Linked DNA regions of Macaca mulatta. The protein of the gene in region 1 purifies or fractionates together with the protein of each later gene. This does not show direct contact. Links are inferred from orthologs where the notes say so. Each region holds a gene or a part of one and is shown in the gene's direction. Other genes may lie near its edges.

Region 1 (5,864 bases):
AATTGCCTGAACACGGGAGGTGGAGGTTGCAGTAAGCCGAGATCACGCCACTGCACTCCAGACTGGCGACAGAGCGAGACTTCGTCTCAAAAAAAGAAAAAAAGGAAACTTTACAATGAATCCCAACATACAATAATACATATATAGCATATCTATAAATATATATACCGACGCATGCACTTACACACACTTACCCTTACTCGTTTTTTTAACTCACCACTGTATTAATGAGGACACATACTTACCCTTACTATTCATAATGCAGTTTTCTATTCTGTTCTATTTTTTTTTAAAAAAGGTGAAACTAAACTGATTTGATAATGCAAGGAGTTTAGTAGCATCTGTTCAAAAACACTGTGGTGAGGATATCCGAATCCACAGGATAAAAACGACACATTTTACAGGAGAGTACAATTTAAGACCTTTAGTTTTAAAACACTTAAAATAACTGTAGCGTAAACCTCAACATTTCATGAAAACATAGAACTTCCAGACATTGATCACTTCCGGCTGGCTGCCTGGGGTTTCCATCTGTAGATCCCCAAGGACAAGAATGCACACCCCAGCCCCTATCGGATGCTTCCGTGGGAAAGCTGGAGGGAGTCGCTCTTGGGCTGGGTGTTCCAATTCGACTCCAGTCACCTCTAAACCTTCCTACGCTGGAATACAAGGCCTGCTACTCAGTTTCCCTGGGCTTCATTCCTCCCTACCGATCACTGGGAAAGGGCGAAGGGCCATGCCCGGCCTCTGCAGGTCCCCACTGCCAAACAGCCTCGGCAGAATAGGGGCGGGTTCCCCGGCGCGGCGGAGCCTCTGCTAACTCGGCAAGTGCCAAGCCCACCAGCAGCCACCACTCCGGGCCTGCCTGGAGGCTCGTCCCTCAACGGCACCTGCGTTCCCGGCCCGGATTCTCTTCCCGCGCCCCTCTGCACTGCACCCCTGGGAAGGCTGTGCCCACACCGCGGCCCGAGGCGTTCCTGGCACCCGGCTCCGGCCTGCCCGCCGCACCAGCCGCCCTGGCGCTGGCGGAGAACCGGCTTCCCGCCCCGGCGTTGTTCCAGGATGTGCGCCGAGCTCCGCGCGAAGCGAAGCAGACACCAGAACTGACGAGGCTCGCCCTGTTTTTAATGAAATTCCTAACACTTTGAATTAACGCAGACTCCATGCTTCCCACAGTCCTTCGGCCGTGGGTGACGCTTAGTCACCACTACATCCTCAAACCCAGACACGAACGCTAACGCAGCTCAAGGGGAATTTTCAAAAAAGCCCCGAGGGAGGAGCTAGCCCAACCACCGCCCGCCCCGGCCACGAGCCTCGCGCCCTTCACGGGCTCAGCGGGCGCGAACCCGCCAACCGCTCAGCTTATCACCAATCACCGCACCTCCCACCTATTGCCCCGCCCTGCGCTCCGTTCCGGCCAATCACCGGGGAGCCACCGTTTGTCTCTCCGCCTCTCCCGCCCGCCCCCAACCGGTTGGAAGTTTGAAGCCTTCAAACCTCGCCGGCGCCCAACCGCGCTGTAGCAGCGCGGTGTATTTTTAGCTCCTGGGTGGCCAGCCCCGCCTCCTCCGCCCCGCCTCCTTGCCTCCCCCAATGGGAGATGGAGTTTCTGACACGTCATCGCGCGGCTGTGCAGGTGCCGTCCAATCGGCGCTCGGGGAGAATGGCGTAATTAAAAAGCGGCGGAAGAAGGTGGGAGGGTCATGACGCAGCGAGTTTCAGTCGTGACTTTTCTGGGGGCATCGCGGCGTCCCCTTTTTTTGCCTTTAAAGTAAAACGTCGCCCCGACGCACCCCCGCGTATTTCGAGGGGGCGGAGGCGGCGGGCCACGGCGCGAGGAGGGGCGGTGCTGACGCCGGCCGGTCACGTGGGTGTGTTGTGGGGGGAGGGGCGCCGCCGCGCGGTCGGTTCCGGGCGGTTGGGAGCGCGCGAGCGAGCGAGCGAGCGAGCTAGAGGCAGCCGCGCCCGCCGCCGCCCCTGCTCTGTATGCCGCTCTCCCCCGGCGCGGCCGCCGCCGATCGCAGCAGCAGGAGCCGCCGCCGCCGCGGTTGATGTGGTTGGGCCGGGGCTGAGGAGGCCGCCAAGATGCCGCAGTCCAAGTCCCGGAAGATCGCGATCCTGGGCTACCGGTCTGTGGGTGAGTGGCCGGTGGTCGCGCGGCCTCCTCGCGCCGCCGGGGCCTCGCCTGGAAGCCGGGTCGCTGCCGGGCCTGCGAAGTTTGGAGCCGGCGCGGCCATGTGGCGGGGCGGGCGGGGGCCGCGCGTTTCGTAACCACCATTTTGAGCGGAGGTGGTGGCGGTCGGGGCGGCGTCCGCACCGGTCGAGGAGCTGCGGTAGCCGGGCGCCCTCCGCGGGCCGGGCGGGCAGGTGGCGGCCGGGCGGAGGGCGTGGGAGGCGCGGGGCGGGGGCCGCCGGCCGCCGAGGAGTCCGGGGCTCGTCTGGGGAAATGAGGCGGCGCCAGGGAGCCGCGCTAGAGGCTCCCGCGAGGAAGGAGTCACACCTGCCTCCCCGCCTTCGCCGCGGGCGCGCGTGACCGGGGCTGGCGGTCTCCCCCACCCCGCCCCCGATGCAAGGAAAAGAAAGTCCGTGGGATTTTAACAAAGGAAGCAGCACCTCGGCTTCATTCCATCTGTGGTGAAGTTTACCCTTGTAAAGAAAACTAGGGACTTAGAGAACGTTTGGTCTCTGGACGCAAGTTTTGTACATAGGAAACCTAGGCGAGCCCCCAAAAGAGGCCCCTCTGGAGGCCCTGGAGATGCTGCTGGCGGCCCGGGTAGGAAGGCAGAGAAAAAGGAATGTCTGATCTCTCAGTGGCCTATATTTCTTCGGGAAGGAATAAGGTCAGGTACTTGCAACCACGCTGTTGAAGTAATTCCGAAGTCTTTTTGTTTTCTTTTTCTTCCCCCAAAAGGTTGACGTACATTTGAAACGGTTCCTAGCGTCGCCTTACTGCTGAATAAGGTGGCTTAGGGTCGGGTTGGGGGGCGGACGGGGTGTCACAGAACAAGCGGTTTTCTGGCCTGTGAGAAACCGGAGCGATCGAACTTAGACACGCTTCAGGGTGAGGCTGTATTGTCTGCCGACATCCGGAAGCCTGGAGAAATTACGTTCATCTTTTCGGGCTGTTTTGAAGTAACTGTCTATAGAAGACGTGCGCCGGGCCACATTTGGGGGGATGGGGAGGTGAAAGCGAGGGTTCAAAGGCTCCGGTGATTGCGGAACGGGGTGACAGCATGTGTCGTGGGAAGCTTGTACCTGCCAGCCGCTCGCGGGATGCACTCCCCAACTGCGCTTTCCACCGCCGGTGCCAGGGTCTGTGCTCTTTGACCAAGATCAGCCACTGCATGCTTACTCATCCTTTTACTACCTCTCCGTCGAGAGCTGGAGGAAGTCAAGGGCTGAGAGAAGCTTGGCTAGAGATGCGGGGTGCCCAGAGTCGTAGGGGGAACTCTTGTGCGATGCGGTGCTGCAGCCAGGAAGTAACCACGAATCAAATGGAGGGGTTCAAAGTCACTAACTGTTCAAATATCTACATGGAACCTGGGATCCAACCTTTATTGGCAGCCTGAATCCATGCTCTTGTCTCTGTTCTCTTGATTTCCTCCTCTGCATTTTGAGGAGTTGGGAGCGCGAGGTGTCCTGGCTCTTGGGTGAGCCCTCCCTAGTCAGTCAAGTAAGTACTTATTGCCAACTATTTGAAAATAGCCCCTGAATAATCACATTATGGTCAAGTACCTCGGCTACTTGATTTCAACCCAAGAGAATGACCTAAAGATCCTGACTGATTTACCCTTTTAAAATGTTGAAATGGTAGCTCTAGTCTTTGGTAAGCAGGGCTAGTTTTATCACTTTTTGGTGGGTTTTTTTTGGTTGTTTTTTTGTTTTTTTGTGTTTTTTTTGCTAAAGAAGTTCCTTGTGTCCAGTTGAAATCCATTCTGTTTTATCTTCCCCTCTATTCAGCTTCCTCCTGAGGACGGAGATGTGACAGGACACCCCTTAGCCGTCTCTTCACAAGCATTATTTTAAAGTGCTGCTTGTTAAATACTGTGCTAACTTAGTCTTCGGTGGGTTACAGGGTCACTTTTAGTCCCTATTTTGTGTCTTCAGTATTTCATATTTCTGCAACCTACCCCACTTCTCCATACTTATTTTCAAGCGTAGTCATATTAAACGATTTTGGAGAGGTTAAGTTGCTCCCAATCTTGTATTTGATTTTTTTTTTTTTTTTTGAGACAGAGTTTGGCTCTTGCCACCCAGGCTGGAGTGCAATGGCGCGATCTTGGCTCACTGCATCCTCCACGTCCAGGGCTCAAGCGATTCTCCTGCCTCAGCCTCCAGAGTAGCTGGCACTACAGGCATGCACCACTACACCCGGCTGATTTTGTATTTTTAGTAGAGACAGGTTTCACCACATGGCCAACCCTCAGGCTGGTCTCAAACACCTGACCTCAGGTGGTCCTCCCACCTTGGCCTCCCAAAGTGCTGGGATTATAGGCGTGAACCACCACACCCAGCCCCATTTGATTTTAAAGTGTATTATGAGCCGGGATATTTTGTAGTTTGTGGGGTCTTTTGCAGGGGAAGGAGATTAGGTTTTGCCAGCAGGTTTCGTCTAGTAAGCCACCCTTTTGAGGATTACTCAGCATGCTCACTTCTGGGAGCTTGCAAATGGTGCTATACCAGAGAAATCTGAGCACATGTGTTTCTAGATTGTGGTCTTTTGTGATGCTGAGCTGTTTTCTCCTATATTCTGGGGGTAGAGCCATAGAAAAAGGCTCCACATCTTTCTTAGAATGTTCTCTTAAGTACATTAAACCAGTTTGACTAGTAGGATACTTGTCATTGTGACTTTGTCATGCCACAAACTTTATTTTTAAAGTTGTCTTCAGCTAAAACAACAAAATGCTATGTTTGTTTTACTAGTTGGCTTTCTCTTTTTTTTTTTTTTTTTTTTTTTTGGAGACAGAGTCTCATTCTGTTACCCAGGCTGGAGCGCAGTGGTGCGATCTCGGCTCACTGCAACCTCTGCCACCTGGGTTCAACCAAGTCTCCTACCTCAGCCTCCCAAGTAGCTGGGATAACAGGCGCCTGCCACCCCGCCCAACTAAGTTTTGTATTTTTATTAGAGACTCGGTTTCACCATCTTGGCCAGGCTGGTCTTGAACTCCTGACCTCGTGATCCACCTGCCTCGGCCTCCCAAAGTGCTGGGATTACAGGTGTGAGCCACCATGCCCAGCCCTCTACTTGGCTTTCAGGTTTTTGTCAGAACTACCAATAGGGAAAATATAATTTTCAGGTAATCTATACAATTCTCCCTCCCAATCTCCTGTACTTTTCCTGTTCTTTACAATGTTAAAGCTTTTAAGGACATGTCACCTGTAACTCTGGGAGTCTGGCTTTCAGGGAGTGCTTTGTATTAACTGTTCCTGTGGTGGCCAAAAGTACCAGCTCCCTGACATTCCGTTGTCTCTACCACAGCAGAGTAGTCCCGCAATAGGAAGTAACTAAACTTAAGTTAAAATGGTAGTGTTACGTAAACTATCTTCAGTCTGGTACGTGTTTCACTGGGATTTTACCTGTACAGAGAGCTTTGGTAACCTAGTTTATCATTAGACCGTAATCAAAAGCTGGTTGTCATATATAAGCCTCTTACATACGGTTAATAAGAGGGGTGGGATCACAGGCATGTGAAAGATCATAGGGGGAAAATGAAACAGCTTTGTGGTTTGGAAGAAGGCAATTCAGCAAAAGTACTCAAATTATTACTTTGTCAAAATGTTTTGGGTAGTATTTAGAGTCTCCATGAGGAAAGATGTCATTAAATATTTGGTTGTTCCTAGCAGATTCTGACGTACTGTTTATT
Region 2 (6,149 bases), on another chromosome or scaffold:
GTCTCTACCTTTACATTGTAGGATAAGGTGCTCCCACTGTGTTCAGGCAGGCCAAGGGTTATTCTGCCTTTTTTTTTTTTTTTGAGATGGAGTCTCGCTCTGTCGCCCGGGTTGGAGTGCAGTGGCCGGATCTCAGCTCACTGCAAGCTCCGCCTCCCGGGTTTACGCCATTCTCCTGCCTCAGCCTCCCGAGTAGCTGGGACTACAGGCGCCCGCCACCTCGCCCGGCTAGTTTTTTGTACTTTTTTAGTAGAGACGGGGTTTCACCGTATTAGCCAGGATGGTCTTGATCTCCTGACCTCATGATCCACCCGTCTTGGCCTCCCAGAGTGCTGGGATTACAGGCTTGAGCCACCGCGCCCGGCCTTTTTTTTTTTTTTTTTTTTTGAGACAGAGTCTTGCTTGATTGCCCAGGCTGGAGTGCAGTGGTGCGATCTCAGCTCACTGCAGCCTCAAACTCCTGGGCTCAAGTGATCCTCCTACCTCAGCCTCCTGAGTGGTTGGTACTACAGATGCATGTCATCATGCCTGGCTAATTTAAACATTTTTGTTGTTGTTGTTGTTGTTGAGGCCAGGCGTGGTGGCTCATGCCTGTAATCCTAGCACTTTGGGAGGCTGAGGCAGGTGGATCACCTGAGGTCAAAAGTCCGAGACCAGCCTGGCAAAGAGTCCTGCCTCAGCCTCCCAAGTAGCTGGGACTACAGGCACCCACCACCACGCCCGGCTAATTTTTTGTATTTTTAGTAGAGATGAGGTTTCACCGTGTTAGCCAGGATGGTCTCGATCTCCTAAACTCATGATCTACCCGCCTCGGCCTCCCAAAGTGCTGGGATTACAGGTGTGAGCCACTGCGCCTGGCCAAGGGTCAGATCTTGATGTCCAACATTGGTTATGGGAGCAACAAAAAAACAAAGCCCATGCTGCCCACTGGCTTCCGGAAGTTCATGGTCTACAACGTCAGGGAGCTTGCTGCTGATGTGCAACAAAGCTTACTGCGCTGAGATCGCTCACAGCGTTCCTCCAGGAACCGCGAAGCCATTGTGGAAAGAGCCGCCTAGCTGGCTGTCAGAGTCACTGTCCCCCATGCCAGGCTGCGCAGCGAAGAAAATGAGTAGACACATGTGCGTGTTTGGTGTTTAAATAAAACTGTAAAAACTGCAAAAAAAAAAAAAAAAAAAGTGCAGATTCTGAATCCCAGTCTCCCTGCTCCCCGATCTGGGGGTCTGGGGCGGAAGCTGGGCATCCTGATTTTTAGTTTCCTGGGCGATTCTGACCACCTGGTGGGTTTGGACTTCAACGTGCTCACTTAGAATTTCTTTCTTTTCTTTCTTTCTTTTTTGAGACGGAATCTCACACTGTCGCCCAGGCTGGAGTGCAGTGGCGCAATCTCGGCTCACTGCAAGCTCTGCCTTCCGGGTGCCCGCCACCACGTCCGGCTAATTTTTTGTATTCTTTAGTAGAGACGGGGTTTCACCGTGTCAGCCAGGATGGTCTCGATCTCCTGACCTCGTGATCCGCCCGTAATCCCAGCACTTTGGGAGGCTGAGGCGGGCGGATCACGAGGTCAGGAGATCGAGACCATCCTGGCTGACACGGTGAAACCCCGTCTCTACTAAAAACACAAAAAATTAGCCGGGCGTGGTGGTGCGCGAGGCTGAGACAGGAGAAAAGAAATTTACAAAGGATAAACTGCTCAGCAAATGAAACAGATTAAACAAAGAATTGTATTCGATGAATTTTTTTTTTTCATCGAATCTTGCTTCGGACCCTTCTTCATCTGAAGAGTCTTGCTCAGTCTCCCAGGCTGGAGTGCAGTGGCCTGATCTTAGCTCACTGCAACCTCTGCCTCCCCGGTTCAAGCGATTCTCCTACCTCAGCCTTCCGAGTAGGTGGGACTACAGGTGTGCGCCACCATGCACAGATAATTTTTGTATTTTTAGTAGAGACGGAGGTTTCACCATGTTGGCCAGGCTGGTCTCGATCTCTTGACCTTGTGATCTGCTTGCCTCAGCCTCCCAAAGTGTTGGGATTACAGGCGTGAGCCACTGCGCCCAGCCTTTCACTTGGTTTTCTACGAAAAAGAGAAAATCTGATTGACACTGTGGAAGATACTACATTAAAAAAAAAAAAAAAAAGTACTATATTTTCTAATATTATCAGTGTTTTTTCCTGAAGCTTTTGCCGCTTTTTCAAAATCTGGAAGAAACAAGGCGGTTGATTCCTCTAATTTCAGGAGCATGTAGCTTCATTTATAATAACAATGTTTTTGAAAAAATAAATTAAACCGACAGTTTCATTTGTAGGACTGACTTTAATAACACGCCTCTACTGAACAAATGGCGATTAACTGGGGAAAACGGAATTACGGTAACCGAGGTAATGGGGTCAGGGACTCCCTTTCCTTCACTGCTTGTTGGGTGGCGCGGCGAGAACGCTCTGAGGAGGTTTGGTCTGTCGGCCACGCCGTAGGCCGCGGTGCATTCTGGGTCCTGGCAATATGGCGTCCTCCTTGATGTGCTGATGAGATGAGTTTCCCTGTAGCTCCAAACCAGAGGGCAAAGCTCCCCTGACCCAGTAAGCCCTCATTGTCCGTTTTCTCCGTGGTTCCGTGTCGCCTGTTTCTCAGGACTCGTTCTCAGGCAGGAGAGAGCCTCGGGGCTGAAGGCCAGGACCAGCCAGGCCGCGCGGACCTGAGGTTGAGGAACCGGGTGCGGGCGAGCACGATGGGCCGGTCCTGGCTCTGGTTGCGGCAGCTCAGACGAGTGCGGGACCCGCAGGGCTGAGAGTGGCTGGAGGAGACCCAGGGCCCTTTGAACCCGATCCCTTGGCCGGAGACCTCGGCCCAGTGGGCGAACCGGCACCAAGAGCGGCCTGCCTGTCCTCGGAACTGCTGAGGCGTTGGAGGCCGAGAGCAGGGTCATCGTGAGGCCTGAAGTCTCTTACGCTTTTGACAGCTCCGCTCGCAGCCCCTCTGGAAACGTGCAGCCCCAGGAGCAGCCAGTGGCTTGGGACTTGGGCTGGTGTGTGTCTGCGGAGCTTCTTGGGCTGCCCCATTTCCTAGCGGCCCCCACCTCCCCACTTCCCGCCCAGAGTTAGAGATAAGGATCTCAGACTTTTTGCCTGAGTAAGGGTCTCCGCACTCTCCATCCATTTGTTTTTCGATTCCCCGTTTTTCTGTTTCTTATTTCACCAATTCTGGTACACGCTAGTTTTTAAGGCTGGAGGTTCTTGAGCGCTTGCTGCCAAGGACTCCCCCACCCCCTCCCCCACTGATGGAGTCCGAAATGCTGCAGTCGCCTCTTCTGGGCCTGGGGGAGGAAGATGAGGCTGATCTTACAGACTGGAACCTACCTTTGGCTTTTATGAAAAAGAGGCACTGTGAGAAAATTGAAGGCTCCAAATCCTTAGCTCAAAGCTGGAGGATGAAGGATCGGGTAAGTGGATTCTGAAGGCACCCCTTGAACTTGGTAGTTTCTCCAACAAAGAAAGTTTACAGCCTGAAAAGTGTCCTTGGGAAAGCGCTGACATTTCCCCCCAGCCACACGTTGTAAGTCAATTAGAAAGCAAAAGCCATTTCAGACTGCAGTTTTTGGCTGAAAATGGGAAAGGCTGTTTTAATTAGTCGTTATTCACTGGGTAGTGTTAATTCAATTCCAACTAAGTTCTGATTCAGATAATAAAAGTTAAGCAAATTTGAAATACAGCATTGCGAGTATTTACATGCTCTTCGGCATACTACTTTGTTCTGTTAACACTTAGAGGAAGGGCAACGTGCGATATAATGCTTATACCCACATAATTAGTCTACTTTGTAAAATTTCCAAGCTGGGTGAAGTGCAGAAGTCTGATATACTATGCTAGGAAACGAGATTACTGGAAAATGTTCAACTAGTAACAAATTAGTGCAAAGTTATTTTAAAGTTACAGTGAACTTCATTCTAGTCTTCTCAACAATTTGTCTTGAAGCTAGACTTTCCTCCTTTTATGTAGGGTCCTGTTGCTGTAACTTGGAGACAGGATTTCTTTAATTGTGAGTTAGGGTATGAGGCATTGACTGCAGGTTTCAGGTTGTCCTCATGGTGTTGGAGTGTGGAGAGTGATTCACAAGCAGCTGGTAGGAAAGAAAACAGCTGAATTTTGTTGAATTTATCCTTCATAAGATACCATCTATTTCCTGGTCTCAAAAGCAAAAGGGTGGTACTGCTTCTCATGTATGCACACTTATAATTTGTCTTTTGGTAAGTTATGTTCTCCCTCCAGGCTGCTTTTATTTATTTGCACGTTTCAGTGGTATAAAAGAGGAAGTTGGTGTTACAAGGTTTGATTTCCTTTAGGCTTATGTATATGTTTATGGAATATTATTGTTTTTTCATATATGATGATGAACATATATAAGATTACACTTCTGGGCTGGGCGCGGTGGCTCACACCTGTAATCCCAGCACTTTGGGAGGCCAAGGCGGGTGGATCACCTGAGGTCAGGAGTTTGAGACTAGCCTGGCCAACATGGTGAAACCCTGTCTCTACTAAAAATACCAATATTAGCCGGGCTTGATGGCAGCTGCCTGTAATCCCAGCTACTCGAGAAGCTGAGGCTGGAGAATCGCTTAAACCTGGGAGGCAGGGGTTGCAGTGACCTGAGATCGTACCATTACACTCTAGCCTAGGAGACAGAATGAGACTCTGTCTCAAAAATAAATAAATAAATAAATAAAGATTACACTTCTGGTAACTCTAGTCTGTCAGTAGTAAGCAGTACTTTAGTTACTGATTTGGCTTACTTCTAAAAGATTAGAAAAATTTGTTTCATCGAAAAGCAGTTTAAGGAGTTAAATAAGTTAGACATTGGGGGAGGTTGTATATTCTATCTTATGGACATCTTTAGTAGTAATTATATAGTTAAAAGCTTTTGTGGTTGCTATACATATGTGAAAATACTTTTTTTAAAAAAAATTCTGTGTAGAGGGCAGTTTTTTTTTTTCTTTTGAAATGTGGTTCCCTCTGCTGTCCTAAACCTATGTTCCAACTGTTCGAAACTGATTAATGGGTATATATTTGATCTTTTAATTAAAACATTAATTTGTGAATGATCAACATTCCATAATAAGCTTTTCACAGATTGTTAAGAGAAACAAGTTCTGTGACTCTTAGTAACTACTGAGATTGTTGCTTAGAAAGCAGCTGGGGAGAAAGTTTGCTGTATCTGTTTTTCAGTGGAGAAAATCAGCAGCTAACATCTTCAGTTGAGTTTGTGGGAGTTTGGAATCTTGTCATCTCTTCCCTCAGGTCAGACCTTGATGGACCGTTTCACACACCCTATAGGACAGAAGTTGCAAACTCAAATGATACTAAGAGTGAGAAGGTAGCATAAGTGAATGAAACAGGCCACATTTAAGAAGAATAATGGCATAGGTTCACAGATAAAGATAAATGGCAGCTGACATTTGACACAGTGTGTGTGACAGTTTCTGGAGGGTGGGAACGGGAGCTCCCTGATGCCGTAACTGAAGGCAACTGGGCCTTGGCCAGGCCTCTCTCTTTCTTTGTCTTTGAGAAGCCAGCAAACTTTTATTTTTTTAAATGTAAAGTCTTCCAATTTGTAAATATTCTTACTAATTCAGATATATTACCAAACACGTTGTAGTCCAACACTGTAGGCTGAACAAAGCCCATTTGTGGAGTGTTTTTCTGTTTCTTTTCTTTTCTTTTTTTTTTTTGAGACAGGGTCTTGCTCTGTCATCCAGGCTGGAGTACAGTGGTGAGATCACACGGCTCACTGCAGCCTCGACCTCCTGGGCCCAAATGATCCTCCCACCTCAGCCTCCCCAGTAGCGAGACCATAAGTGTGCGCCACTATGCCTGGGGTTGGGGAGTCTCACTGTGTTGCGCAGGCTGGTCTTGAACTCCTGGGCTCAAGCAGTCCTCCTGCCTTGGCCTCCAAAAATGCTAGGATTATAGGCGTGAGCCAACATGCTCAACCTGGGGTAGTTTTTTTTTTTTTTTTTTTTTTTTTGAGATGGAGTTTCGTTCTTGTTGCCCAGGCTGGAGTGCAGTGGTACGATCTTGGCTCACTGCAACCTCCACCTACCAGGATCAAGCTATTCTCCTGTCTCAGCCTCCCAAGTAGCTGGGATTACAGGCGCCTGGCT

Evidence for each region.
Region 2: the proteins of RHEB (region 1) and RPTOR purify together in Homo sapiens (affinity purification with western blotting, with the first as the bait; 3 studies listed by BioGRID). This does not show direct contact. The link is inferred for Macaca mulatta from reciprocal best matches to the Homo sapiens genes RHEB and RPTOR.

What each region holds. Positions count from the first base shown.
Region 1 is NC_133408.1:190,941,343-190,947,206, reverse strand, and holds the start of RHEB (GTP-binding protein Rheb), read left to right. Parts: upstream 1-2,034; 5' UTR 2,035-2,085; coding exon 2,086-2,137; intron 2,138-5,864. UniProt on the Homo sapiens protein: Small GTPase that acts as an allosteric activator of the canonical mTORC1 complex, an evolutionarily conserved central nutrient sensor that stimulates anabolic reactions and macromolecule biosynthesis to promote cellular biomass generation and growth.
Region 2 is NC_133421.1:90,242,286-90,248,434, forward strand, and holds the start of RPTOR (regulatory-associated protein of mTOR), read left to right. Parts: upstream 1-2,494; 5' UTR 2,495-3,272; coding exon 3,273-3,434; intron 3,435-5,984; exon of another isoform or gene 5,985-6,149. UniProt on the Homo sapiens protein: Component of the mechanistic target of rapamycin complex 1 (mTORC1), an evolutionarily conserved central nutrient sensor that stimulates anabolic reactions and macromolecule biosynthesis to promote cellular biomass generation and growth.